4 linked regions of the Caenorhabditis elegans genome follow. The protein of the gene in region 4 interacts with the protein of the main gene of each other region in a pairwise test. Each region holds a gene or a part of one and is shown on either strand. Other genes may lie near its edges.

What was found.
Region 1: the proteins of xnd-1 (region 4) and lin-11 interact in a two-hybrid assay, tested with the Caenorhabditis elegans proteins (one large-scale study listed by BioGRID).
Region 2: the proteins of xnd-1 (region 4) and F16B12.6 interact in a two-hybrid assay, tested with the Caenorhabditis elegans proteins (one large-scale study listed by BioGRID).
Region 3: the proteins of xnd-1 (region 4) and nfyb-1 interact in a two-hybrid assay, tested with the Caenorhabditis elegans proteins (one large-scale study listed by BioGRID).

The regions. Positions count from the first base shown.
Region 1 is NC_003279.8:10,246,495-10,254,298, forward strand, and holds the start of lin-11 (Protein lin-11), read left to right. Parts: upstream 1-1,797; 5' UTR 1,798-1,844; coding exon 1,845-2,077; intron 2,078-2,283; coding exon 2,284-2,412; intron 2,413-3,179; coding exon 3,180-3,318; intron 3,319-4,673; coding exon 4,674-4,764; intron 4,765-5,349; coding exon 5,350-5,411; intron 5,412-5,716; coding exon 5,717-5,818; intron 5,819-6,141; coding exon 6,142-6,243; intron 6,244-7,527; coding exon 7,528-7,642; intron 7,643-7,804. UniProt on the Caenorhabditis elegans protein: Probable transcription factor which is required for asymmetric division of vulval blast cells. Involved in olfactory plasticity probably by regulating the expression of transcription factor mbr-1 in RIF neurons.
Region 2 is NC_003284.9:14,100,478-14,108,326, forward strand, and holds F16B12.6 (DUF7747 domain-containing protein), read left to right. Parts: upstream 1-1,838; 5' UTR 1,839-1,881; coding exon 1,882-1,947; intron 1,948-2,116; coding exon 2,117-2,446; intron 2,447-2,500; coding exon 2,501-2,703; intron 2,704-2,750; coding exon 2,751-3,041; intron 3,042-3,106; coding exon 3,107-3,431; intron 3,432-3,478; coding exon 3,479-3,643; intron 3,644-3,692; coding exon 3,693-3,969; intron 3,970-4,035; coding exon 4,036-4,208; intron 4,209-4,467; coding exon 4,468-4,967; intron 4,968-5,022; coding exon 5,023-5,251; intron 5,252-5,301; coding exon 5,302-5,391; intron 5,392-5,443; coding exon 5,444-5,584; intron 5,585-5,637; coding exon 5,638-5,819; intron 5,820-5,873; coding exon 5,874-6,034; intron 6,035-6,109; coding exon 6,110-6,789; intron 6,790-6,836; coding exon 6,837-7,202; 3' UTR 7,203-7,436; downstream 7,437-7,849.
Region 3 is NC_003280.10:461,341-469,285, reverse strand, and holds nfyb-1 (Nuclear transcription factor Y subunit nfyb-1), read left to right. Parts: upstream 1-1,920; 5' UTR 1,921-1,949; coding exon 1,950-2,154; intron 2,155-2,380; exon of another isoform or gene 2,381-2,437; intron 2,438-2,732; coding exon 2,733-2,894; intron 2,895-3,042; coding exon 3,043-3,243; intron 3,244-4,715; coding exon 4,716-4,834; intron 4,835-5,108; coding exon 5,109-5,265; intron 5,266-5,905; coding exon 5,906-5,982; intron 5,983-6,612; coding exon 6,613-6,712; intron 6,713-7,082; coding exon 7,083-7,273; 3' UTR 7,274-7,619; downstream 7,620-7,945. Other genes in the region: tomm-22 (Mitochondrial import receptor subunit TOM22 homolog), read left to right, coding at 606-776.
Region 4 is NC_003281.10:5,602,868-5,608,067, reverse strand, and holds xnd-1 (X chromosome NonDisjunction factor), read right to left. Parts: upstream 3,609-5,200; 5' UTR 3,608-3,608; coding exon 3,235-3,607; intron 3,189-3,234; coding exon 2,999-3,188; intron 2,949-2,998; coding exon 2,857-2,948; intron 2,810-2,856; coding exon 2,608-2,809; intron 2,519-2,607; coding exon 2,272-2,518; intron 1,815-2,271; coding exon 1,476-1,814; intron 1,432-1,475; coding exon 850-1,431; intron 803-849; coding exon 719-802; 3' UTR 512-718; downstream 1-511. Other genes in the region: C05D2.8 (DUF7064 domain-containing protein), read left to right, coding at 230-494; madf-11 (MADF domain-containing protein), read left to right, coding at 4,638-4,704, 4,750-4,841, 4,886-5,147, 5,196-5,200.

The sequences.
Region 1 (7,804 bases), on a different chromosome or scaffold from region 4:
GAAATCTTCTCATTCATGAATTGAGGAATTTCCACTGAATCACATTCTACCGTCATCTCATTCCGCTCGTCTTCTATTACCGTAATCCTTCAGTTTTATTTCCAATTTCTGCGCGAAATGGCATTGTTTCAGTAGGAGGTGACAAGCCCGAAATGGGATGACACTAGACCAAGGACAACCTCACCGGAAGAAAAAATAACAATCACTGAACTCGTAGATATAGTTGACACACAAGAAATGACAAGTTCAAAATGAGAAAATCATTTCACTTTTACTCTAGTTGTATACGTGACACTTTTGATTTCATATCGAATGAGTTTGTCCTTCTATCCAGCTGATTCTGTTCGGTTGGATGTGGTTTGTATTATATTGAAAACATGCCCAAAGTCAAACAGGTGAAGAGCAGAACTTTTTGCTCGAAACCTGATTGAAACTGTGTTTATTTGTTCCATTGACGGCTCTTTGAATTAAAATTTTGAATTGGTGGTGTCTAAAGATTTCATTTGGTCGAGGCGTCAAGGGGCGCCTCTGATCCGTCGATTCACTGGTATTTATCAAGAGATTGCTTCTGTGGGTTAAATAAGTTTTGGTTGTATTTTACCGGACTAGCTATTCTTTTTTCAATGTGCTGAAAAACAATTTGAATACAGAATTACAGAGCTTGCGAAGTTTTGAACTGAGAAAAATCCTTCTAATTTAGGATATTTGTTCCTAAAATAACATGTAATACAAAAAAGTAAAAATCATTGTAGTTGTATGACCCCGATGAAAACAAATGGAAAGTTTCAAAGTAGCGAATTAAATCTTAGCGCACTCAATTATACAACTTTAACAGCTCAGAAAGTGTTCAATTAAAAATTCAATTGAAATTAAAAGAAACATTTTAAAGCTTCCGATTTCGGAACGATAATCAAACTTTTTGAATTTAAAATGTATGTATAAAAATATTGTATTAATTTGAAAATAACCCCAATCTTTTTTGCGAAGATTGAAAAGAATCTGAAAAACTGGCTGAATGTTGACTGCCTAAAAAAATATCACAAACAATTTTTATGGAAAATGGCAAATTTAAGGAAAAGTTTGACGATTTTTCTGAAATTTTTAATAAAATTGACTTGGTTTTCATATGAACCAAATATTTTTCTAGATTTCCACATTTGAAAAGTTGCGTTATTGTACCAAAGTGGGCCGTTTTGTAGATTGGTACAAAATTAATATATACGGTATCCCATTTTAGACAATCGTTCTTCTGGTAAAAAATTCCAGAAAAAATCCGAAAAAAATTAAACGTAATTTGCAAAACTTGATCGTAGAATAATGTCACTATCAAAACAAAAATTACTAAAAACCACCCCTTGAAGTTATAAAAACTACCCTATTAGACTTGCACCCCTTTTGATCTACTTTAAAAGCTTATATTTTTGCTGTCTTTAGTTTTTATCAAAATTGTAAACTGATAAAATACTTGGAAAATATTTTTCTTTATTTCTCATGTTGACTATTTTTGATATAACTGAAGATAACAGAGATATAAGGTGTGAAAGAAAACGTAGTGCAATACAGAAAATACGGTGAATGAAAAATATTTGAACTATCATGAGCATTTAAACCAAAAGCGATCCCTATTCTCTCGTTCTTCTTATTTTTCTTCTAGGCTTCAACATTCGTAATTTCCTCTCTCTCTTTCCCTCAATAGCTCTCATTCTTCAGGCTTTCTCTCTCTCTCTCTCTCTCTTGTGTCAATAACTCCGCCCATCAACCAGCCAGCCTCCTGGTGCCCCAACCACCGTAACCTTCGTGGTCGTTCTTCTTCTTCTTCTCCTCCTCCTTTTACTCCCTTCTCAATGCATTCTTCTTCTTCGTTCATCATCACCTCACTGGAAGAAGAGGAGAAGAAGCCTCCTGCTCATCATCTTCATCAGCAGTCAATTGAAGACGTCGGCAGTGTCACCTCATCTGCCACGTTGCTGCTTCTCGACTCTGCCACGTGGATGATGCCATCGTCAACGACTCAGCCGCACATCTCTGAAATTAGTGGAAATGAGTGTGCCGCGTGTGCACAGCCTATTCTTGACAGGTATCGGTCCCTCACCTTTTTTTGCAATTTATGATTATTTTCCGTTTAGTCTCATTCCAATTTTCATCTCTAGCTGCTGTAACACCACCTCTCTCGCCCCTAATTGAATTTTTCCATTTTCGATTCATTTCCCCCTCTCAACCCCTTCGACAGCAGCAGCACTAGCAGTCATTTCATTTTCAGCCGACACTTTCACTTACTTTCAGATATGTATTCACTGTGCTCGGAAAATGCTGGCATCAGTCTTGTCTTCGATGTTGTGACTGTCGAGCGCCCATGTCAATGACTTGTTTTAGTAGAGATGGTCTTATTCTGTGTAAAACTGATTTTTCAAGGTAAGTTCCGAGCAACATTAATTTCTAAGAACTGTGATCTATAAAGAGCCGGGCTGCAAGTTTTGAGCTCTTGGAGATAGTTCAAAAACATCTTACAATTAGGTTGTGATGAATTTTCCATTGAATTTTCCAGTGTGCAAACTTTAAAAGTTCTAACTGAACGCTGAAGTTTTGAAGCTGAAAACCTCTAAGATTCTTCAACAGTGACAATTTCAAAATTCCAAATTTTTAGTCAAAAGTTTATGTAAAAATATATAAAACATGATCAATTTGAAAACTACGTTTATTTTCATTGAAAAATAAAAAAAAGTCCTGAAATCTGGTATGAAATTGTAATAACTATTTTCTGGTAGATGTCAATTTTCAGTAAGTCTCTCAGATTTTTTTCAGTCTTTTGCAACATATTTTTCATATTGAAAAATTGGTTTTTTTCATGCCAATTCAAATAATCGTACTGCGAATCGTCACCCACTCCTGGATATATTGTAGTTCCAAAACTTTGCCAAAAAGGGCTAGGAGAATATATTCAAGCAAATGACGGCATAAAATTTAAAGATTCCGCAATTCCAAAATCCTCCCAAAACATGTTCTAAAGTTTTGAAGATCATATTCCAAAATTCTCAAATTTCTTATGCTTTCAAGCTCACTTGTAGTAAACAAATCTTACTTGCTTATTTTGATTTTCAAATTTCAAATTCTATATCTAAATTTTCCCACGGTTCCCACGGTGTCCATAATTATTTTACCTACCTGATTGTGATTTTCAGGCGATATAGTCAACGGTGTGCCGGATGCGATGGGAAATTGGAAAAAGAGGATCTGGTGAGACGAGCAAGAGATAAAGTTTTTCATATTCGATGTTTTCAATGCTCCGTTTGTCAAAGGTTATTGGACACTGGTGACCAGGTGAGCCAGGCTAAGCCTCTTCTCTATATAAGATTGATTGTACTTTTGATCTTATATATTAATCCAGGCTGGTACCTTAATTGAACTAAAGTTTCAAATAAGTTTTATATTATTTAAGGCTGACGGTAAGTGATATTTGACGTTTTAACTGGCAGTTCTTTTTAAGCTTGTCTCCACCATTATCAAGGTTTTTCTATAAGTTGAGCGGTGACTCAGATGAAATTAGATATTCATAGTCGCTATTTTCTCACGTCTAACTTATACTGATAAGCCCATTTGCAAATAAGATACGCAGATCCCTAAAAATCACATGCTCACACCTCTTGAATGTGTCCCCATCATGAGCCCCTGTCAGTTGCACCTGCCTCTTACCGAGAGCTCTCTACCACTCAAGCTTCACGCCTTCTTGTCATTCAAAATGTTTTGTTTTCTTGAATAGAAGATGTCACTGAATGTCATTGATGCTGTTCTGAGTATTGTTTTGACTCATGTAGATGAAACAGATAGTTGATTAAAATTTTGATCATAAACATTATAGGGAACATCAAAAACTATTTCTGTCTAGAGGCGCGCTGAATATCTAAAAACCCTCTCAACTTCCATACTGTTTGTTTTGGTATAATAATTCTACTTTTTAAAAAAGAAAAATTAATGTAGAAATATAGAAAAAAATATTCGATTGACTTCAAAATAATGAATAAATATTTTAAATGGAACGTTTGAAAAATACTTCAAGTACTGTTTCGGAAGTTATCAAAACTACTGTTAAAGTTTTTCAGATTTTTTGAACTTTTCCAAAAAAAAAACACTTTATTTCAGATCAATCAAATATTTTAATTTTTTTAAAATTTGTTTTATTTGAAAAATTTGGTTGTCGTTGTATAGTTGCCGGAAGTATTTGCCGGACACCATACTTTAAACATTTCTCATTATCAGTTGAAAAACAATACGTTAAAACAATTTTCCAAGAATACTAGGATTTTGGAGCAACCGTTCAAAATGTCTCGAGGCGCATATTATCTTCTCATTGCTCATTGCTTCTGCTTATATTAATTTCAAATCAGTTAAACTACCCACTGACCAACCGGTAGATCTTATCTCAATGCCATTTTCCTTCCATTTTCCATCCTGTCTTCCTGCTTCAAAACCTTCCCCAATTCCCTTTGGGATGTGTCCTGTTGTCACTCTACAATCATCTTCTTTCCATCCGTCTCTAACCTATTATACTTTATAATTGCATTACACGGGGGACCTAGTCAAGGTTTGAGACAGCTCCAACTGTCATGAAAATATGCGAGGGGTTCCCACGATTGTTTTTGTTTTTTTTTCGCGGAATTTTTAGTGTTATTTTGCAGCTTTATATCATGGAAGGCAATCGATTCGTGTGTCAAAGTGATTTTCAAACAGCAACCAAAACATCAACGCCCACATCGATTCATAGGCCCGGTAAGGTTTTTAAAAATAAAGAAAGGGAAAGAGAAAGAGACGAAGAATTGAGTTTTAAAGATAATACAAAAGTTGTTCAAAGTTATGGTAGAAGGTGGAGTTTTCATAAAATTGTTGACTGCTGAGGCGTCCAAGGCCTACTCCAATAATTGAATGAAGGCAGATAGGCTAGAGGCAGACAAGTGAGCCTGAACACATGCCTACCTACCATGAAATTCTTTATCTCTGAAGTAACACCGCCAGACATAATTTTCAGTAGATACCCAAAAAGTCAAAAAAGAATTCCCAGATTTCAAGTCATAAAATCCTTAGAAATTTCTTCTTCTTCTCATAAAACCAGAGACATACGTTCTAATCCATGCTTCCGTTTCAAACGTATTTAAGATGAGCCAGCGAGCCATGTGTTGTTTGAATAGTTTTACGATGATAGGTATCTCTGCACAAAAGAGGAAGAGACAGACAGCTGTCAACACAGAAAACATTTCTTTGTATTCGAATTACCGCAAAATAGTAAGGAAGGGGGGATAATCTCGTTGCGGAATGGACATACACTGGTATTAGACAGATGATGTTCTTTTGTTACAGTATCCAATGGATCCGAATGCAATTCCGATGTGGAGGAGGATAATGTGGATGCTTGTGATGAGGTGGGTCTGAAATATATACTTCTCTGGAATTGCCATTTAGGATCAGTTTTTACTTTTTTTTAAAATAGAAAGTTCTAGTAGTGGCTAAAAAGTTTGCTGTAAACGAATCTTTAAAAAATACAAATATTTTTCTAATCAGTTTAATAAAGAAGCATACTTCCCTACTTTTGACAGCTGGTATCATTTGAAATGATTGCAAAAATGGCTCAACACTAAAAATATTGAAAAGATTTAACCTATAACTTACAAGTCAAAATGTTTTGTTAGAACCAAAGTGAATCTAATCTAACTTATTAAAATTTCAGGTCGGACTCGATGATGGAGAAGGCGATTGTGGGAAGGACAATTCAGATGACTCGAATTCTGCGAAAAGGCGTGGCCCTCGAACGACAATTAAAGCAAAACAAGTGAGTTTTCTGAAGTAGAAAAAATTATCTATGTCGGAAAGGAAAGTGCAAACATAATTATTGAAATAACTTTTTGAAAAAATAATTAAATTTCTAAATCCAGGTCAGTGTAACAAATATTTTGTCAGTTGACAATTTTTTGGTAAAACATAGTCTGATCAAGATTTGTGCTGCCAAAGTTGGGCAAAACTGACAGAGGATATCAGATTTTAAAATTCTAATTAATGTTTGATAAAGAATCCAGCGTTTCCTGCTGAAAATCTTGAATTTCCCCACTTAAAAAATATCTTATTACTGTCCAAAGCTTCAATAAATATTTTCAGCTTGAAACCTTAAAAAACGCGTTCGCCGCAACACCCAAACCAACTCGACATATCCGTGAACAACTTGCCGCCGAGACAGGACTCAACATGAGAGTCATTCAGGTTTCTATTCTTCTTCTTTTTTTCTTTTTTTGCACATGTCTAAGTATCCTCGAAATGCACTATCTCTCACAAATTCTCATTTCCCGCTTTAATTCACCTGCCCCGCCCTTCTCTCTCTTGGGGGAGGACACATCCTTCCACACGCACACACACAAATTCAATTACCGTAGTCCTTGAAAGGAGAGAGAGGGAAAAACGGAAAGAAGAAAAAGAGAAAAAAGTGAGTGGATACTGTAGTTTCTAACTAATATCATGTTATTTACTGTAAGAAAGATGTACACATCACATGATTTTTATGTAACAATAGAAATAATAATGATCATAATCATAATAACTGATAACAGGAAACTTAACGGAAAGCCATAGGAAATTGGTTGTGTTTAGAGAGCTATACGAAAATGATGATGAAAGAGAAAATGGGAAACAATTTCAATTTGGAAGATAAAAATCTGAGTGGTCAAGGGAGAGAATTGCAATGAGAAATTTGAGTTGAACTCAGAAAATTCGTTTTTTTGTTCAAATTTTTGAACCCTGAATATTCGGAATTCCAAAATTAATTGTAGTCTTAATTTTTTGTGTGAAATATTTTTAGCCTACTTCCACCGATCAATTAAATTTTAATTCTGTTTATCTGCACAGTTGCCCCATAATAGTAAACTTAAAAAACTGCTAACACATAACTTTTAGTGTTTTGATTCGAAAATTTGGAAATAACTGAACTAAAAAAGGGTTCGCTCTCTATATTGATTTTTTTCAAAAATTTAATCTTCGTGTACAGTGTTTTAGTTCACTTTTAAACTTCTAAATGAAAAAGTAGTCAACTACAGAGGACCATTCGGAACTGAAAAAACTCGATCTGAATAGAACTTTTTTTCATAAAAACATATGATTGAAAAAAAAATTCGACTATTTTTTCTTTTTTTTCTTGGATTTCTGGACTTGGGAAAATAATCCGGGCGTTTTCGAAAATTTTTCAATCGTTCAAAACAATCTGAAATTTTAAAAATTGAATTTGGGTGATAAAAGATTCAGTAATTTTTTTCAAAAAATTCAAAGTTTCCAAAATCTTTAAGAATCTTCCATAAATCTACTTTTGGTAAAATTCCGAGAATGAAAATGAACAATTTCAGATCGGCTTTTTCAAGTTCAAAATGCTCTTCTACAGATAACATAATTTTTCTGTGGGGCTCACTCAAAATATATTTTTCCAAATGACACAGGGTTTACCTTTAATAGATAATTTTCTCCATTAATTTGTTTTCCAAATAAATTTCCATTTTACAGGTGTGGTTTCAAAACCGCCGAAGCAAGGAACGAAGAATGAAACAACTTCGTTTTGGAGGATATCGTCAATCCCGAAGACCACGCCGTGACGATATTGTAGATATGTTCCCGAATGGTGAGTCCACTTAATCGCTTCTTCTCGTTCTCAAATATTACGCAACACCAATTATCACGGTAGCGTGAAAAACAGATGAAAACACGAGGGTAGGGCGTTAGAAGCAGGTGTTCCAATGGCAAAAAGTCGATTTTCTGCACAATATGTACTAGGTTAAGCTGG
Region 2 (7,849 bases), on a different chromosome or scaffold from region 4:
GATTAAACTTACTTGAGTATGCTGAATTGTACGGCGGAAAACTGGAAGTTCCGGAAGCTTTTCACTTGGCAAGACAAATGATCGATTTGCTTCACACAATACATGATAGGGGGATCGTTCACTGTGATATAAAACCAGCAAATTTTGCATTTGGTCTCAATGAAAAAAAGAATCAGCTTAATGTATGTTACTTCTACCTTAAATGTTTTGTGAACTCATGATTATTTGAACAATTTGACACATATAGTCAATATAACTATACCTTTAGCTCATCGACTTTGGATTAGCAGAATCGTTTCTTGATGATAGAGGAAATCACCGAGAGGTACATAATCGCCATTATCGAAAAGGAACTTATGTTTACATGAGTGCCAATCAGCACCATGAACAATGTTTTGGTAAGAGTTTTTTGTTTGCTTTTGTATCAGCACTTCTGATTGAGAATTCAGCTTTTTCAAAAAAAATTCTATTAACAATACCAAGACGAAAGGTTAAACCAAATATTTTTTGTTCGAACTATCTAATTACAGGAAATACCCGAAGAGATGACATGGAGTCCTTGGTTTATTCTTTGAGGAAAATACTTGACCTCACTATGTGCTGGAAAGAAGGACGGAGTGTGAACAATGATGATACTCATAGAAACTATTTCAACTTGAAACAAGGCAATCAAAAAAGTTGTTCACTTTGTGGAATACAGCCGATTAACGATATGCTTCAATCGTGCCGCATGCTCGAATTCAAAGATGAACCCAATTATGAAGCAGTGAAGCAGCTGTTTGTCTTGGATAAAGCTATGTCAAAAGCGTTGAAAAATAAGTTAGTTTAATATGTTTTTAAAGATAAAAAAATCAGATTTCATCAAAAAATTTAAAATTGCATGTAAATAAAATTTTCACTGCCATTTTCAGAAAGCATGTTCCACCAAAAGCTACATTCGACATTTCTTTGGACGAGGATCAACAGGTTTCAATTTGATTTAATTTCGAAAAACAATGATAATTTTATATTTTAGAAGTTGATCGACAAATTCAATATCTACTTCAACGAAGAAGACTATGATGCAATGTGAAACTTCTTTAACCACCTCCTTTGCAGTTTAACAATTGTCAGTTAATCTAGAATAAATTTTTTAAACATGTTTTATAAATGTTACTAATGAAAACAATTATGGGTTTTTAAAGTACATACTTTGTGTAGTCTTGGGTGTCAAAATATTAATCTCCCTACAACTTTCTAAATTTTGCCATAAAAGTTTTTTATGGAGCACATCTGTTGCATTATCTGTTGCTAAATTTACTTATCTTGCACTTTGAGGATTTTTTTAAAATTAATGAGTAATAATGGCAATCACAACTTAAACCAAATGTCAATTGTACTCGAAACGTGTGAACGTGAGTTTTCTTTTTTTGTAGACTTTTCTATTTGTGAAAGGAGGGCGCCCAATTTAATTAGTACCACATTTAGGATGCAAAAATTGTAAATTTAAAGAAGGTTTGTAGAAAAATACGTAAGATTTTTGAATCTTGTCACTCAAATTACACATACAAGTTTATCATCCTCACCACATAGCCCTATTTAAGTTCTGCTAAATTTATTGGGTTGATTCTTCGACAATTGCCCAACATTGTCGATCACCAACAAACAATGCAAATACGCTCCAACTCACACCGATAGGGAGAGGGGTGTGAATGCGCGCGAAACAGCAAGTGAACGGTCTCTCCGTTTACCACACTCTCTTACCTCGTTTTGTCATCTAACGCGCTCTCTCGCCACTCGCCTTGCGCGTCAGCCGGCCAGTTATTCTTTCCTTCTTTTCACATCGTTTTTTTTCATATTTCAAGCTATTTTTTGTCAATTTTCAACTTATTCAGTTTAGAAATGCCTCGCCGAAACTCAACAAAAAGTGCTGCACAACCGTCCGAAGAAACGCCAGCCGGAGAAGAGGTAAAACTGTTTAGGCTTTGAAAATTTCCGCAATTTTTAGTCTGTAGACACCGATAATGACGCCATTGAAAAATTCTCTCTCAATTTAAAGTTGCGAAGCATTATGAGAGAATTGTGAAAACAAAAAAAAACAGATGAAGCTAAAAATGCAACACAAAATAAAATTCAGAAACCTCTGCCGATGTGTCCTGAGGAATCTGCAAAGGACACCACTGTACAATCGTCCAGACCACGGCGAAATATTCGCAAAAACACTCTATACGACAACGAGAACTATGAGCTTGTGAATTCAGCGCCTGCTGCACCTCCCGAACGGACTCCATCAGTTTCAAGAACTCCAAATAGGACCAGTGCTGTTTCAGAGGTATCTACTGGAACCGATAAAAACTCAACTGCTATGATGCCTGATATGCTGAAAGGAGCGAAAAGAAGAAAGATTCCTCCTCATGTTGCTGAAATGATGGAGACACCAGTTGCACATAGGGCGAACTCAAATCAAGTGAGAAACACAGAAAACCTTTGTTCTTAAATAATCCTTTTTTCTTAATTACAGACTCCAAAATTCGATGATCAGTTGATGACTGATGGAGCCAACCTGGAAGTTGCAATGGAATTTGAGGTTCCTCACAATGACGAAGGACCTCCAGTGCTCGGGCCATCTACTGTTTTTGAAACTGAACCTGAAAGTTACAGGGAAAGCGACGAAGACTATAGTGTTAATGACTTTGCTCACCCTCCAGATCTTGAAAGGCACCCGTACGTAAATCCATTATGTAATGACAAAACTTTAATTTTTTTTACAGATTGAGCAAGCGAAGAGGACGTCCACGTCGACCACAAGAGCAGCTGGAGACCAATGTTAAATTGAAACTGACCCGTCCAGCTTCAAAAGCTCAGCGAGCCCCACCAACTGAGCCAGTTGCTGCTAGAACCGCCACTGCTAATCAAAGGCATATTAAGCTATTTGAGGAAGAGTTGGATACAACCCCCGGCGGAGAGTCCTATGCAACCGTGGTGAATGGGTGCCTGACTGAGCTGCTGAGAAAGGAGCGGATTATTGATCTCCTCACAAACCCGGACGAAATTGAGTTGATGTAAGTGAAAAATGACAACTGTTGCAATGCGATATCAATAATCTAAGCACATTATAAATTTTCAGAAAGCAAGCAGGATGGTTTCTTCCAAGACCACCACGTCTTCCTCCACTTGTCACCGACAAAGTATGCTTCGCATTCTACGTGGATGGTAGTCAGCAGAAAAATGCTAAAGATCTCTCCAACGATGACCTCCGTCCGTGGAGTGTGACAAATGATCATCAGAACACGACTGGCGGCCCAAACACAATCAAGCCAAATGTTCGAAGACACCCGGTGGCTCGACTCAATGGCGAGCTGAAGACAGTCAAGCATGAGACACGTCTCGCTGAGTATCACTTAACGGAGTACAGCGCTAGATTACCTCGGGAGCAGAGACTGAGAAAAAAGGTAGCTAAACTGAAGATATTTGAACACAACATTGATTTTCTTTCCAGATTTTCTACCTGACCCGTGACAATCAAATCTTTGGAAATGTGCTTATTCTGTATGATTATGTGAATCCAGGAAATGCCCCAATCCCAGTATGCCTTCCTCATGGCAATGATCATCTGCGAAGAGCAGTCACAGATGATCAAGATGGATTTGACAATGATTTGCCGGTTTGTAATTATATAATTGGTTACCTCATTTATAATTTTATGCTTTCAGTTTGAGCCGCAACGCATAGAAGGAACCCGTGGAGCTGGAGTCTACCTCAGGTTGCGTCCGAACAAATTGGGATGGGCTCAGAACAAGAAAAACTTGCTGGATTATTTATTCAATAAAGTTGACATTCTGGATGAACTTGGCGCTCTAAACAATCGCCTCCCAGATCTTCCGCCACTGATTGAGACGGTCGGAGTCTTTGCATATTTTGTTCCGGCCTGTCATGTTGTCAACCAAATTCACCACGCTGCTGATGGCTTATCTCCATGGACCACTAATCGTGAGTTGCTGTTTGCGAAGCACCAATATGCGGTCGTTTAACCGTTTTAATTTTGATAAATTTCAGCAGGCGCTGGCGAAGGAACACCGACAGTGCGTGTGCGGTCAACAAAGAAGAACTTGATATTGGACGAAGCTCACAATCACTTTATGGTATCAAGAGACCAGAAAACTCCATCCGACTATATTCTCGTAGAGACAATGTCGACACTTGCCAGATGCAAAAGAGTGAGAAAGAGGGTAAGTTAACCAACAGTCCGCAAGTACCACGACGCACATTTGCGTACTTAAGTTTGCGTACTTAAATTTGCGTACTTAAATTTTGCGTCGTAAATCTACACCACACGCTGTGCAATATTTAACAAAATGAAAGGGCATACACCACCTGGGGTTGTTGCTGCTAAATTATCAGACCGTTGACGGAACTGAAATTATAGTGCAGTAGTCATAAATAATGTCATAAAAAATATTGTACATTGCAATTCTTCAATCATTTCAGGTTTTCTATATCCAACAAGCCGGCGCTGTTATTCATGGAAATGTCTGCTACACGTATGAGTTTGTTTACGACGGTCCGTTGCCAACCTTCTACCCACCATTGGACGCGAAGAGTTACAGTAGATGGTCAGGAGGATCACCACTGAAAAAGCCGGTCAATTCAATGGACATGCACTCTCACATGATGGTAGAGCAGGATTCATATGATATGATTCCTGTTGACGATGACGGAATCGTTGATGTCGTTGACGTTCACAAGGAAATGCTCGTTCAGCAGGAGGATGATCAGATGGAGAACCTTCTAACGTATCCCGATACGCTGAACAACGGATTTGATCCAGAATTCAATGATGATCCGATTGATAAAGCCGAGAATCCGAATGCATACTATGATGAGCCCCGTGTTTTGTCAACGGGTCACGTATACTTGACTGTTCGTCATAAAAAGTTGGTTACCGTCATGGATCATGTTCTCGAATGGATTGCAAATTCGAACATTGTGTAAGTTCTTGAAAATGTAATCAGTTTGATTTTCAACTATTTTCAAATATTTCAGTGAGGAGCGTGGTGTCCTGAACGACACGAAACCGTCTCACCCACCATTGGTCACCAACTCTAGGGCCTACGCCTTTTTTGTAGCCGGTACTGCCATATTCCCCCATGACATTAATCGCGACGACTTCTCACCATGGTCTCGCAACGGAACGCCTGATCAGCCGACCTGCTATCGTACAAAAGTTCGAAAGCTTGGAGTGATTTGCGATCCTCAAAATTCAACGTTTTTGGTATGGAATATTTACTGGCACTATTGTTTTAAACGTAAACTGTTTTTAAGCTGAAAGAAAATACCAACTACAAAACTTGTCCATTCCATCTCGTCTACTTGTATTCGATTAATCCAAAGGAGCCTAGACTGCGAAAAAAGGTGTTTTAAACAATGTTATTTGATTTTTATAAACTAATAATTTGGTTTTCAGATCTACTACCTGATGGAAACCCAATCAAAAATGGTTGTCAGTCATGCATTGATTATGTACGACTACAACCATGAAGGCAACATCCCACGTCTCAACGCTGGCCAATACAAGCCACTCACTAAGAGGAGTTACGCTAGAACCGTATGTTTCTAACATCATAAGATTTTGACTTAATAACAATACAATAATTACAGAATCATATGCAGCATGATTTGATGAATGATGTCTCGGAAGGCGAAGAGAGCAGAGATTGCCCATTCATATTGCCTGCAGAGACTGCTGCTGATGGGACGTTTTACCTACAGCTCGATGACTTGGAATTCTGGAATGACCGGAACCGACAGATTCAGTACTTGGTCAATCAATCTGATTTGGTGTAAGTTGATTGAAAGAAAAATAGAAAAGCTAAGCTTAAAAAAAGTAATTTCAGTGAACAACTCGGATGCCTCAACACAAAAGTTCCCGATCTTCCACCATCGATAACTGGAAAAGGAACATTTGTCTTTTTTGTGAACGGAGAAGAAGTCAACTTTAGATCATTGACCACAGATAAACTGACTCCGTGGTCAGAAAACACTTGCTCTAATCCTCGTAAGTCTTATGAATTTTTTACAAAAATTTTCATAGACGTGTTGAGTAACTTCCCGCAAGCTCCATTAGTTTCAGATGGAATAACCAAAAGGCCGAAATCATCAAAAACTCCGCTCGGATTCAATCGTCACAATCAACTGCGAGTCTGCAAGGGGAATGCTCTGGCCGTGGATCCGATTGAATTCCAGTTGCACATTTACACTGCAACATTGCCCCGCTGCACACGGCTTCGCAAAAAAGTTGTCTATGTGCAACGAGACGGAAACCAGTATGGACACGGTTTGATCATGTACAGCTACACTGAGCCCGGAGCTGTGCCACAGCCAATTCAGAAGACTATTCAACCTTCGACTGATGAATGGTTCAGCAGCCTTCCATCAAACATCAGAGAGGATGTGTTCCATTTGCTGAAAACTGCCCCAGTAAATGAAACAGCGAAGATAATTCATCAGGAACATGGAATTCATATTAGTCCAAATATGTTGTTCAGTCTCAAACGGCGAGAACTTTCTGGTTCTCATGCTGACAACGACACTTTTGTCACTGAATGGACCGGAGCTGATGGTGCAGGACCATCGACATCGGCTAAAACTGAGACTGTGGAAGAGGTGGTGATTGAAGAGCAAATTCCAAAAACAATCATGGGTCACGAAATGATGATTGGAGGAGACATGATTGTCGAGCACATTGAAGAAGTTGGAGACGTCTATGGGCAATCAATGATGAGAAGAAATCCATTTTTGGAGAAAAGCGTGGTTAGTGTTTGTATAATTGATTCGTTTTTTAAATTCTCAATTTTCAGACTACTGCTGGATTTGTTCGTGGATCTCAGCGATATGATGCTCTTTGGCGAATTGCGCAAAAACAGTTTGGTTCGGAGTGCATTGATGACACTTTTGACAGCTTGTTCCGACTATTATACGAAAAGAACGAGCAGCGCTTGCTCCAAATGATCAATGAGACATTCCACGTGGACATTTTCTCTGGCGACCAAGAGATTGTGGAGGAAGGTGTCGAATACATGCAAGAAGAACTTGTTGTGCATCCTGGTAATCATCTTGTCGGACACGAGGAACTGGGAAGACACGAGGAACACATTGAACATCCTGAAGTACAAGGCCATTTGGAACATGAAGTTATTGAAGCCCCAGAAGATCCTATGGTTTAAAATTATGATTAACTGGAACAGACATTGTTCGAAAAATCATATAACTGTAAATTAAATTGATCTTATAATATTGTTTTACCCTTTAAAATCCGTGTTATGTCATATCTATCTATTATTCCGTTTTACACCAAATGTTTTTTGCCACTATAGAATGACAAGGTGATCTTTTTTCTGTTCTCAGCAAATTGAAAATCAAACATAATACACTGACACAGATGAAGTTATAATAATGCATAGTAGTTTAAAAAAAGGTATTCGGCTGAATATCTGAATAACAACATTTTAATGTAAGGTGCAAAGCATGGATGTGCGGCAAATTTGCCAAACACGGTAAATTTCAAAAAAGTAGATTTGCCAAATTTTCCAAGCTCCGTAATTTTTTATGTTTGCCCCAGCTGCAAAGGAGCATACAACCCCCATGAAAACCAGTTATTGGTCTGTATTTTCACCCGAAACAGAAACATCTGAAAGGTAAAATTTGGTTAAGCAAATCCCTAATGTTTCAAGTCCGTTACTACAAACAACTCTGTGACCTAGATTCCAGGTTCTGTAAAAAATTTCAAACACGTCACTTTATGTGCAGGGTACTCACCGGTCTTCAATGATAGCCATTTATTTCAAAGAAATTGAAAAAAAGTCAAAAATTA
Region 3 (7,945 bases), on a different chromosome or scaffold from region 4:
TCATATTTCACACTGAAAACTCTAAATAAAATCAATTTTCTTTCAGTTTTCCTCTAATTTCTGTTCTAAATTATAAAAATTATCGATTTTTGCATTAAAAAACCGGAAAATCAATAATTTGGCAATTTTGAACCGAGAAAAAGTTGAAAATTTGCCTATTTTACACTGAAAACTCTAAAAAAGATTCAATTTTCTTTCAGTTTTCCCGAATTTCTGCTCTAAAAACTAAAAATTATCGATTTTTGCAGTATAACATCTAGAAAATCAACAATTTGACAATTTTAAACTGAAAAAAAGTAAAAATTCGGCCTTTTTTATTTGAAAACTCAAAAAAATCTTATTTATTCCTCTAAAAACCAAAAATTATTGATTTTTGCTATAAAACACTCGGAAAATCAACAATTTGACAATTTTTAATAGAGAAAAAATTAAAAATTTGCTTATTTTACACTGAAAACTCTAAAAAAGAATATGTTTTCTTTCAGTTTTCCCGAATTTCTGCTCTAAAAACTAAAAATTATCGATTTTTGTAAAAAAATCTCAATTTGACAGTAAAAACTCATATTTCACACTGAAAACTCCAAAAAAACTCAATTTTCTTTCAGTTTTCCCTTACAAAAAGCACAATTTGGGTTGTATCTACAACGTCATTGATCGCCTTCCTTCCATACATTATCGAAAAGGAACGAAGTGATTTGGAAAAGACTCAAGTGGCTCAGCAACGTCAAATGCTTCTCGGACCATCTGCGGCCATTCAACAAGCCAAAACTGCTTGAAAAACTTGATTTTCTCGCCGAAAATCCCCCTTAAAACCGTCTGAAATTGATCTTTTCCTAGATTTTCCCCTGTTTTTCGTCTTCTGATAGCTTTTTTTGCGATAGAATTCATTATCATATAAATTGTTGATTTTCTAACATTTTTCAAGGATTTTTCTAGCACAATATCCCGGTTTTTTCATCCAAAACTTGTATTTTTATCGATTTTTTTGACGTTTTTCACTTTTTCCAGGTAAAAATCCGAATTTTAAGCTTTAAAAAGCCTTAAAAAACACAAAAATTGCAAATTTTCGCGCTGAAAGTCGCATAAAATTGAATTTTTATAATTTCTGTTCGAAAAATCTTCAATTTTTCGCTGAAAAATTTTTTCCCTGGCAAAAATTCAAATTTTGGGTCTGCTAGGCTACAAACTACAAATTTCGATTTAGCAGACCCGATTTAGAAGAAAAAACGAAGAGTTTTCAGTCTAAAAAGCTTGAAAAATAGCCTTAAAACTTGATTTTTTCGCTTTTTTATTGAAAAAAAACAAAATTTATCATTTTTATCCCAGAAAATCGCTGAAAACCCCGAATTTCGCCTATTTTCTTCGTTTTCACCCAATTTTCTTCAAATTTTCGCAATTTTCAGCTCATTTCCATTATCTAAATTTTTTGCAGCACTGTATTCGGGTTATTTCATCCAAAATGCGTATTTTTATCTTTTTTTCTTGTAGTTTTTCACTTTTTTTCAGGCAAAAATATATGAGACATCGAATTTTAAGCTTTAAAAATGCTTAAAAACACAAAAATCGTCAATTTTTGCACTAAAAGTCCCAAAAACTTCAATTTTTCTAATTTTTATTCGAAAAATGTTCAATTTCTCGCTGAAAAATTGCTTTAAAAAAATTTAATTCTGAAAATTTTTGGTCTGCTAGACTACAAACTACAAATTTCGATTTAGCAGACCAATGTGATTTTTAAGAAGAAATTACGAGTTTTCACTTCGAAAAGCTTGAAAAATGGTCTTGAAACTTGATTTTTCCTGTTTTTTAATCTAAAAAATTAAAAATTTAGCATTTTCAGCTCGGAAAATCGCTGAAAACCCCGAATTTTTGCTATTTTTCCTTGTTTTCACCTTATTTTCTTCAAATTTTCGCAATTTTCAGCCCGTGTCCACCGTCTAAAAGCTCCCAAAATGGATCCAAAACCCATAAACGAAGGAATGTTACTGGAGGATCATGATCATGGAATGCCTGAAGAAGAAGAAATAACAGAAGATGATATGAATGGAATTCATAATATAGAAGAGGATACACGAACAATTAGTGAAATAGCAATGGAGCTTCATCATCCGAATAAAAGTCAAGTTTTACTTGATCAGGAACGATTTTTGCCAATTGGTATGGGAAAACATGCGGAAATTTTGATGAAAATCGATAAATTCCCGGAATTTTACACGAAAAATTGAAATTTCTTGAAAAATCTAGACTGAAAAGTGAAAAAATTCATAAATTTCCGATAAAAACCGCCATTTTTTCTAAAATTGCCCTTTAAAATGAAAAAATATCACATGGGTCTGCTAAATCGAAAATTGTAGTTTGTAGTCTAGCAGACCAATTTTGTTCAAAATCACTTTGGTCTGCTAAATCGAATTTTGTAGTTTGTAGTCTAGCAGACCAAACTTCTTCAATATCTATTGGTCTGCTAAATCTAAACTTGTAGTTTGTAGTCTAGCAGACCAATTTTGTTCAGAACAACAATGGTCTGCTAAATCGAATATTGTAGTTTGTAGTCTAGCAGACCAATTTTTTACAATTTTTTTTTCAAAAACATAAATTTTCGACAAAAATCGATTTTTTTTGTAATTTTTTTTTCAAGAATTGAAAGTTTCTCTGCAAAAAGGCATCAAGCTCGAGATTTTTCAATTTTTTTAAAACAAAAATCGTTGAAAATTCTCCAAAAATCCCAATTTTTTCAGCTAACGTGGTCCGAATCATGAAAACTCAAATGGATCCGCAGGCGAAATTGGCAAAAGACGCAAAGGAGTGTGCTCAAGAGTGTGTTTCAGAGTTTATAAGCTTTATCGCTTCGGAAGCCGCTGAAATATGCAATATTACGAAGCGGAAGACTATTACTGCAGGTAAAACCGGGAAACTCCGTCTAAAATTACCCGCAAATCGTCCAAAAACTACAATTTTCGCATGGAAAACCTTTTTAAAAACTCAAAAACAGCCCAAAAGCCCAAAAAACCCTAAAAACCGCAATTTTCAATATAAAAAAATTTCCAGACGACCTGCTCACCGCGATGGAAGCCACAGGATTCGACAATTACGCGGAGCCAATGCGAATTTTCCTTCAAAAGTACCGTCAGGCTCACAAGATCACTGGACCAATTCACAGAACACACCCAGACTACGTACGGCCTCCACAATTTCAAATGGATCCTTTTGTTCGGCCATTATTCTTCGATACGGAGCAAGGACGCAGATGTTCGTGTGTGAAAATCGGAAAATTTTGCCTGAAAATAGATTAAATTGATGGAAAAATAGAAAAAAAAACTGGAAATTTGACTGGAAATGGATTAAATTTATGGAAAAAATAGTAAAAAACTAGAAATTTCACAGAAAATAGACTAAATTAGTGGAAAAAAATAGAAAAAACGAAATTTGACAGAAAATAGACTAAATTTATGGAAAAAATAGTAAAAAACTAGAAATTTGACAGAAAATAGACTAAATTTATGGAAAAAAATAGAAAAAACGAAATTTGACAGAAAATAGACTAAATTTATGGAAAAAATAATAAAAAACTAGAAATTTCACAGAAAATAGACTAAATTTATGGAAAAAATAATAAAAAACTAGAAATTTCACAGAAAATAGACTAAATTTATGGAAAAAATAGAAAAAACCGGAAACTTGAAATTTAGACTAAGAATTGTTTTTTTTTCAAAGATTGAAGTACTGAGAATGATGATTTTTCATTTAAAAAAATTGTCAAAACTCTGAATTTTTTGCTGAAAAATATTCAGAAGCCGAAATAATAGTAAAAAAACGGTGAAAATTGCATTTTTTCCACATAAATCTCAAAAATTCATTTTTCAGTTTTTTTCAACTACAGTATCCTTTGAAGTCATAGAAAAAATTACAAGATTCGCAGAAAACTCGAAAAAATCATAATTTTAACGCTAAAAACTTAAAATTCAGAATTTTTGGCTTTTAATTTCGGCTTCTGAGTATTTTTCAGCAAAAAATTTAGAGTTTTGACACATTTTTAATGAAAATTATCATTCTCAGTGCTTCAAGCTTTGAAAAATTAATGGGAAGAATAGTAAAAACCTGAACAAAAATGGTTTTCTCTGGAAAAATTCCTAAAAATTTTTTTCAGAGCTTGAAGCACTGAGAATGATGATTTTCCTTTAAAAATTTGTCAAAATTCTAAATTTTTTGCTGAAAGTTGCACAAATTCTTAATTTTGAATTTTTAGCGTTAAATATATGATTTTTTCGAGTTTTCTACGAATCTTGCAACTTGTTCTATGACTTTCAAGGATACTATAGTTAAAAAAAAACTAATAATGCATTTTTAAGATTTATATGGAAAAATTGCAATTCTCACCGTTTTTTTCCCAAAATTTTGAATTTTTCGCGAAACTCAGCAGCTTTGCATAGTAGTTTCAAGCGACTTTTTTTCGGAAAAATACCGAAACTTGCTCTGAAAATGCCATATAACTCCTATAAGGATTACTGTAGTTTCTCTACAAAAATAAATTTCTGTGACTCATGTCCTTCTATCCAAATTGATGGCTGGAATATCGGTATTCTCGGCTGAAACATGCAATAAATACCGTATTCCAACCAACAATTTGTGCAATAGAGCACATTTGTCACCGGAGATGCGGAAGCTATGCCCAAATTTTCAATTTTTCTAGGAAAATGATGAAAAAAATTGCAATTTTCCAGGTACCGAGACTCAATACGTGATAAATGGCAGTGAAATTGTGAAAAATGCTCCATTGGGAGAAGAATGGAATGAGCAAACTGGTACATTGAATACCCGCGCAGATGGATATTATATGGAGGTGAAAATTGGATTTTCTGGATGGAAAACTGTGGAAAAATGGATTTTTCCACTAAAAACCTGAATTTTTAACTCAAAAATTGATTTTTTTAACTCAAAAATTGAATTTTTAATTCAAAAATTGAATTTTTAATTCAAAAATTGAATTTTTAACTCAAAAATTGAATTTTTAATTCAAAAATTGAATTTTTAACTCAAAAATTGAATTTTTAACTCAAAAATTGATTTTTTAACTCAAAAATTGATTTTTTAACTCAAAAAATTCGATTTTTCAGGAGCCAATGGAGCCGATGCCGATGGAAGAAGTAGAAATTGAAGAACACGAGGAAATTATTGAGCAAGATTCACTTGGAGCCATCGCCTTGGAGCAACAAGGCCAAATGCAGATTTATGTGGATCCAAAGACGAAACAACATTTTGCAGCGAAAGAAAGTACGGAATTTTTTATGAAATTCTGAATTTTCCAGCGTGAAAATTGGAAAAATTGAGAAAAATCGATTTTTTTTTGTGAAAATTCCGGAAAAATCGAAGTTTCGCCGATTTTGTGGCGTTTCCAGAAAATTTCTCATTTTTTTCCTTAAAAATTAGAAAAATTAGATTTTTACAGCACAAAAAAAACAGAAAATTGAAATTTTCTTGATTTCCAGCTCAAAAATTGGAAAAAATGGTTTAAAACCGATTTTGAACGGAAAAAATCTAGGAAAATCGATTTTTTTTTTGGTGAAAACTTCAGAAAAAATCGAAATTTCGTCAACTTTTGTGGATTTTACTGAAAATTCCCTATGTTTGCCGTAAAGATTAGAAAAAATTGGTCCAGATTTGATTTTTACAGCAGAAAACTAGAAAATTCAAATTTTTTTTGATTTTTAGCATAAAAACTCGAAAAAATTGGTTTTAATTTGATTTTCTACCTGAAAAATCCGAGAAAATCGATATTTTCCCGATTTTTATATTAAAATTTGTGAAAATTGACATTTTCTCGATTTTTCTGAAAACAATTGTGAATTTTCTCGATTTTCTGTCAAATATCTAAGAAAATGTTTTTAAATAATTCCGGAAAAGCAAATTTCAGCTCCGAATGGCATGGAACTCTACCCTCTGATCATCCAGGACACCCCACTGCAATTGGAAAATGTTTCTGGGCCAAATGTACGATTTCCAGCACTTTTCACAGCGAATTTCAGATTTTTAGTGCGAAATTCGAATTCAGCGCCTCAATTTACCCCCAGAACCCTGTTTCCCCGTCTTCTAGCTCAACATTTTGAATATTTCGGGTTACTGTAGCCCCAAGAGTACGCAAACACCGACTACTGTAACCCAAAGCACCAGATTTTACGGCATTGGCGAATTTCGAGCTGAAAATTGATTTGACGGGGTAAATTGGAGTGCTGAATTCAAAAATCGTATTTAAAATTTCAGAAAATTTGATTTGAAAATCGGAAATTTTGAAATTTTCAGACAAATTTTTTTTTGGGCAAAAACCTTGTAATTTTGAAATTTTAATGCGAAATTCGAATTCAGCGCCAAAAATTACCTTCATTTTCCTTTTCCCCGTGCTTCTAGCTCAAAGTTTGAATATTTTGGGTTACTGTAGCCCCAAGAGTACGCAAATACCGACTACAGTACCCCAAAACACCAGATTTTACGAAATTTGCGAATGTTGAGCTGAAAATTGATTTCCCGGGGTAAAATTGGAGTGCTGAATTCGAAAATCGTATTGAAAATTTCAGAAATTTTGATTAAAAAATTTTTTTTGTTCGAAATTTAATATTTTTTCAGCAATTCGTTATGAATATGCCAGATGGACGAGCAATACCCCACGGAATGGGACAAGAAGAGCCTCAGCCAGTGTCAAGTAGCTCAGTTATGCGGAAAATCGGTAAAATATTGCATTTTTTAGTGATTTTCTGTTCAAAAATGCTGAAAAATGGAGATTTTACTGGTTTTAATGGGAAAAAATCAAGTTTTTAGCATTTTTGAGCCATTTTAATCGGGAAAAAAGTGATTTTGAAGCATTTTAACCCCAATTTTCCAGTTTTATAAAATGAATTTTCCGATTAAATAAGTGTTTTCATGTATTTTCAGCTAATTTTTAGTCTTTTTTAATCGAAAAAACTGATTTTCAGCCAATTTTTCTTTTAAAAAAAGTGATTTTAGGCATTTTTGGCCTATTTTTACCTATTTTGCATATGTTTTTTTCAGAAAAATGAAATTTTTGCACATTTTCAGTCAATTTTCCCGATTTTCAGGTCAAAATCCGTCTTCCTATGCCCAGCAGCACCACCACGTCAGCCACGTGGAACAACACGATGACGTGGAATATGAAGAAGAAGAAGAAGTAGATCAAGTAGAGGAGGATACAGTACCCGTTCCAATCGCGCCGAGACCCGCAGCCACCCGAGTTCAGCCGAAACGAACGCCGACGAAGAGGAAAAAGTAGAGAAAATTGCAAAAAATGATAATTTCTCGATTTTTATTGTATTTTTCGCATTTTTTCACCCTGAAATCCCAACTTTTTGAGGAATTTTTAAAATTTTGCACTGAAAATCACCATTTTTACCGAATTTTTTATTGGATTTTTTCTCATTTTCCCTCAAAACTGAATCTGAAAACTGCAATTTTTGCAAAAATTCAATTTTCCAAAATTTTCCATTTTTCATTGATCTCCATCGTATCCATTTCCTTGACAACTTAACATATACAATTGTAATTATTTTTGAAATATTTATTCATTTATTTATTTATATCTCTAATTTATTGCAAAAAAATAAATTCAATTATACCCCAATGCCTCAGTTTTCACTTAACCACCAAAAAAATTCGTTTCAAATCGATTTTTCAATTTTTCCACACTTTTCCCATTGAATTTCAAATTTTCAATGCGAAATTCGAATTCAGCGCCTCAAATTACCCCTATTTCCTTTTTCTCCCGGCTTCCAGCTCTAATTTTAAGAAAATTGGGGTACTGTAGCTCCAGGAGTACGCAAACACTGACTACAGTACCCCAAAACGCCTGATTTTACGACACTTGCGAATTTTGAGCTGAAAATTGATTTGACGGAGTAAAATGGGGTGCTGAATTCTAAAATCGTATTAAAAATTTCTGAAAATT
Region 4 (5,200 bases):
GGTATGCAACATTGCTTTAGATTTTCTCAATAGCTCCTATTTTTCAATATTTTGGCAATTTGCGAAAGCTTACGAAAAATATAAACATTTTTGGAGTGTTTTATTATGATTTTTCGTCGTTTTGGATCATTATAAGTGTCCTTTAAGTCGTTTCGAGACCGAGTACCGTATTCTCGCAAAAGATTCTAGTAATTTCCTTAATGGGCAGAACCTAAATTTTTTTTTTCAGAACTGGTGAGACGAAGCCAGTGGATCGTGTACACTTCTCCCTTCCAAACCACGGAGAGGATCGTCATTTCCCTGATGATTTCCACTACTCGTTCGAAGTTGACGGCAAGATTCATCACGCAGATGTTCATATCAAGGAAGCCGTCTCATTCAAAATGGGATTGGATCAAGCATGTCAGGTCACCGAAGGAATGAGCGAATTCGTTGTCGACGGAAAGCCGGGATGGGGATTCGCGGAAGTCGAGTATCGTATTCAGCCGTATTAAAAAATTATCAAATTCAGATTTTCTACCTTTTCCACTTACTTTATAAAACCGTTTCATATGCTACTAACAAATGTGGGGTCAACGTGCAGAACAGAGCAACAGTAAAATGTACAAAAAATAATAAAACACTGGGAGGGGATAACAAGTTCCGAAGAACTAAAAACATGAGACAACAAAACATTTAGAACGAGAAAACAAAAACAAAAGAACAGAGATTGTAGCAGCTACGTAGCAGAAGTTGAAGCCCTTTTGTCAACCTCATCCAGTAGATAGTTCACCGTTTCTTGGACACTTTTGTCAATTGGAGTCTGTAAAACCAAATATTTCAAGTTTTCAAATTGTTCAGTTCTCTTACCCGAACAATATACTTTGTGCACGATTTGAAGCGAAGATATAGTCCCTTGCGAGGAGACTGCACCTCCAGAGGCTTCTCCTTTCTCGGGCGGCCTCTTTTGCGAACAAGGCTTGCCGTCGTGTCCTTCTTCGGCTGAACTTGCTCTATTTCGGGCTGCTTCTTCTTCATCACCGGAATCACTGCAGTCCTGGGAAGCGAGTAGGGAGTTTTGAGAGTTGGTGGACGAAGAATCCTCGGAGTTGTGATATTTGACCAGCGGAGAACGGTATTCTTGGGTGGTGGTTGATCTTGCAGATTTTGGGAAGACGTGGATGCTGTTGTGAAGTTTGTGAGTGGATGATGTCTTTTCTCATCTTCATCATTCTTCTTTTTCTCCACTGCAGTTTCTACTGGTTGCGTAGTGGGTGGTCTTCCAACCGGTCTTGCTGCTGAGGAAGAAGGACCATCAGAACCTTCCCTATTACGAGCCATCGATGCCTGATTAACTGAGTAGAACTGAGTGAGTACATGTGGAGCTCGCATGGTCTGCCCACAAAACTTCTCGGATCCGAAAGAAGACTTCAGGGAGGTCAGTTCGTTTCTCTGAAAAAAGTTAGATTAAATCTTCTTTGTTCTTTGAAACTTACCGAAACACCAACACGATCAGCACACTTTGGAATGATAGACATATTGGCAATCTCAATACATCTACGAACCGTCGCACTGCAAAATCCGGTCATCTGAGCCGACACCTCGTCCGGTTTCTGCCAAACAGTTCCAGCAGCTCGATCGCCGAGTCGTTTCGCGTATTCTCGATTCCAAATTGCTGTTCTAGCTACCATGACGCGTGTCTGATCGCAAAGATGAGCACGGATGGCAATAACGGTAGAATCGTCGACGAATCGGAAGGAGCTCATATCCACAGGCTTTTGAATTTCGGCGCAACGATAACATCTTCCATTGACTCCTTTGACGAAGGCGGGGGCCTGAATTTTGAAAATTGTTCGTTGTAGGTCTCGCCACAAATAATTTGATTTTGTAAAGTACTAGCCAGTGGCAAAATTTTAGGAAGAACTACGGTCGCACCACGAACAATTATCTCCAATCATCCCGGCGCAAAAATGTAAGCGCCTTTTAGAACTACAGTAACCCTTCTCCTCTTCTTTTCAATGTCGCTGAACTTTCTTATTTTTCGCCAAGATTTTTTTAATTTATTGAGAGAAACTGGAGTTGGGTTACTGTAGTTCTTCAAAAAATTTACCATTTTGTGCAACCATTAGATGAAAATATTTTTTGCTTATGATGAAAACAGGGAATGAAATAATATAATTATTGGATGAAAAACACTAGTAATTGCTGAAAAGTTTTTTTGTTAATGATAATGCAGGAAAATTCGAAATATTGAAGTTCCACTTTAGGGTTTTCCAAAAATATATAATTTACCGCCATATTCGAGTAGAACGTCATAGGAGTTTTATGATTATATGCAGGAATTTGGACACTTTTTGGAGCCACGGTACTGTTTTTGGCTTTTGGACGGAAGTTATTCGCTTGTCTGATCACGGCGTTTTTCGTCATCTCCAGAGCTACTTTTTTACGTTCCATTATCGATTTGGAGAGTGGAAGGATTGGAATTGCGCTCGCCGAAATTTTGGTTCGTAGAAGCTGTGATGGATTGATTTCCTCCAATCTGGAAAATTTGCTTTTTAGCAGGACTTATTAAACAAATTGTCATTATTTTGGAAGTCAAGGTTTTCAAAAACCCGAAATTCAACTTACTCAATTCGTTTTCCGACTCTTTCCGTATGTTCACTTCCAAGCGTTGCGTCTTCCTCGAGAATTTTCCCTTCACTTGGTTCGCTTACAGACTCCCGAGTACTTCCACTTTGTCGCTCGAGAATTGGCGGCGGTGTGACAGCTCGCTGGTACCGAGATCGCAGAAATTCCTCCTCATCAGAATCATAACTGTTTCGGAAGATATCTGAAGAGAAAATGAGCTTTAAAAAATCAAATTTTCATGGAAAATACCTCTTTTGGTTCGATTCGACTCAAATCTGGATATCAGAGATCGCTGTGGTGGAAGATCTGGTGGGCGTGTAGGGTCGGCCATAATTTTAATTCTGAAGACGGGTGATTGTTTTGTTTAATAAAAAACTTTTTAAAAACTAACGCTTCCTCCTCTTCGTCGAATCCAACAACGTCCACATCCTCATCAGAGTCTGTAAGCACTATTGGCTTAGATACAACAGGATTCGGATTTTTTGGAGAATTTTGTGCCTTTTCGAGTGTTACTTGTTGGTTATTAACAACTAACGGGGACTTCGACTTGTCTGTATTCTGAGAACGAATGACGTAGACTTCTGAAAACAATATTTTTATTTAACAGAGGACCATTTGCAAACAAACTTCTTCGTGGCAAATTTGGATCCGTAGCTTTTTTAACTGGCTTTGGTGGAGGTGGGAGACAGGAATCTCCGAATGAAGCCCATCCAATATGAGCTTTAGGTTCATAATTACTAGAAGATGCCGGTGGTGAATCAGTTTCGTCGTCGTCGTCGACTATCAGAAGATCATCGACGCTCAACGTTTTCTGGGATGTGGAAGGTTCATCATCTTTAGCAGTTTGCGGTTTTGGATCAACTTTTGGAAACTTGACCGCTGCTCGTTCTTCTTCATTCATAAAAGCAAATGACATTGGGGATATTGGTGGAAAAGCTGCGGGTGCAGGCTCTGTCGTCATGGAATTGTCTAGATTGGCAACAATGGGTTCAGAAGACATCCTGGAAACAAAAAATATGGAGATAAAATTTTTAAATTTAAATTTAAACTGTTTTTATTTACCAGAAAACTAGAAAATCCCAATGAGAAAGAAGGGAAATTAATAGAAAAATAAAGTTTTAAAAATACCTAAATTTTCTACAGTACCCGAGGTCTCGCGAAGATTTTGGTCCGCAGTACGCAAACACTCTTATGCTTGTTTACCGTAACCACTGAAATATTTTTTCGTTGTTTTTCTTTATTTAAAAAAAGTTATCTATTTTTCGAAATTTATTGAAAATTTCACATTTCAAAACCGTCAATAATTCTTTTAAAATTCATTTTTCGCAATATGGATTTTCTTCAAATGTTAAACCAGAGTTTTCTTGTAATTCCTTGAACAAATCACATTTTTAAATCACATAACCATTTTCGTTTCTGGAAATCTTCACTTTGAAGTTGAATTCTTGTTAGATTATATTTGTTTAACTCTGAAAAATAGTTAAAATGTGTGTTTTTATATGTTTTGTTTCAGATTTCCCCTGCTTTGTTTTCCTTTCCTAGACTAAGTTTTTAAATTTCGATCAATCCTTTTTCTTCATTTTACCCTCTCAAAACCATTTATTTACTCACTTGAGAGACGCAGAGAAACCATCGATGGCCTAGATGTCTCGTCTCGCCTCCTTCTCGGCCACGCGCGCCTATCTATCGATGTTTTTCTGCCTGTTCGCTCCGTTTTCTTTTTCGAATCTTGACCGCTTCGCATGCCTGTTCCGTTGCGGTTTCTGAAGCGTTTCGGTTGCGTCGCGGTTCCCGGCTCCGCCCTACTACCCGTTCGAGTCTCCCACGGTCTGTAGCACGTCTATCACCTATGTGAATGAGTGTGTACGATCATCTTCTTGCCAATCGGGTTATTGGGTTCAATGGATCGTAGATTGATATGAAACTCGAATTCGGGAAGGAATCGCCACGCAACGCAGCTAGAAATGCTTGAGAAACTTGCGAGAATTTGAGAAGAAAATAAATTTCAGAATTATTATTAAAAATTTCCAATGAGCGACCGACGGCGGCACGGAACAGAGGATTATCAAATCGCCGGTCTCAAGCATTCAATGACAAGTAAATCGATATTCATAGATTCAGAATTTCCAATAATTTTTCCAGGTGTCGCCTCAAGCTCCCACGGTGGTGCTGGAGACCTCCAACAACAATTTTCCAGGGAAGATCCACCCGTAAAAACTACGCAATACACACTTGTAAGCTGGAAAACGTTTAAAATTCAAAATTTTCAAATTTTCAGCTTCAACTAATCAATATGGTTCGAGAAAATCCGATTCTCTACGATGAGGAGATGCAAGCCGCCACGCCGGATGCTCAGTTGAAGGTTCAGAAACGAGAAGCATGGGATCGGATACGTGCTGATATAGTTTGGCAGGACATCACTCTTGTTCAGGAAGTCTGGTCGGATCTTCTCGATCAATATGCTAGAAAATCGATTGATATGTCCGATGGACTAATTGAGGCAATGCGATGGACAGATTCATTGATTTTTAAGAAGAAATGTAAGAGTTTCTTGCAAAGAAATACACCAAAATCATTTATATTTTCAGCAGAC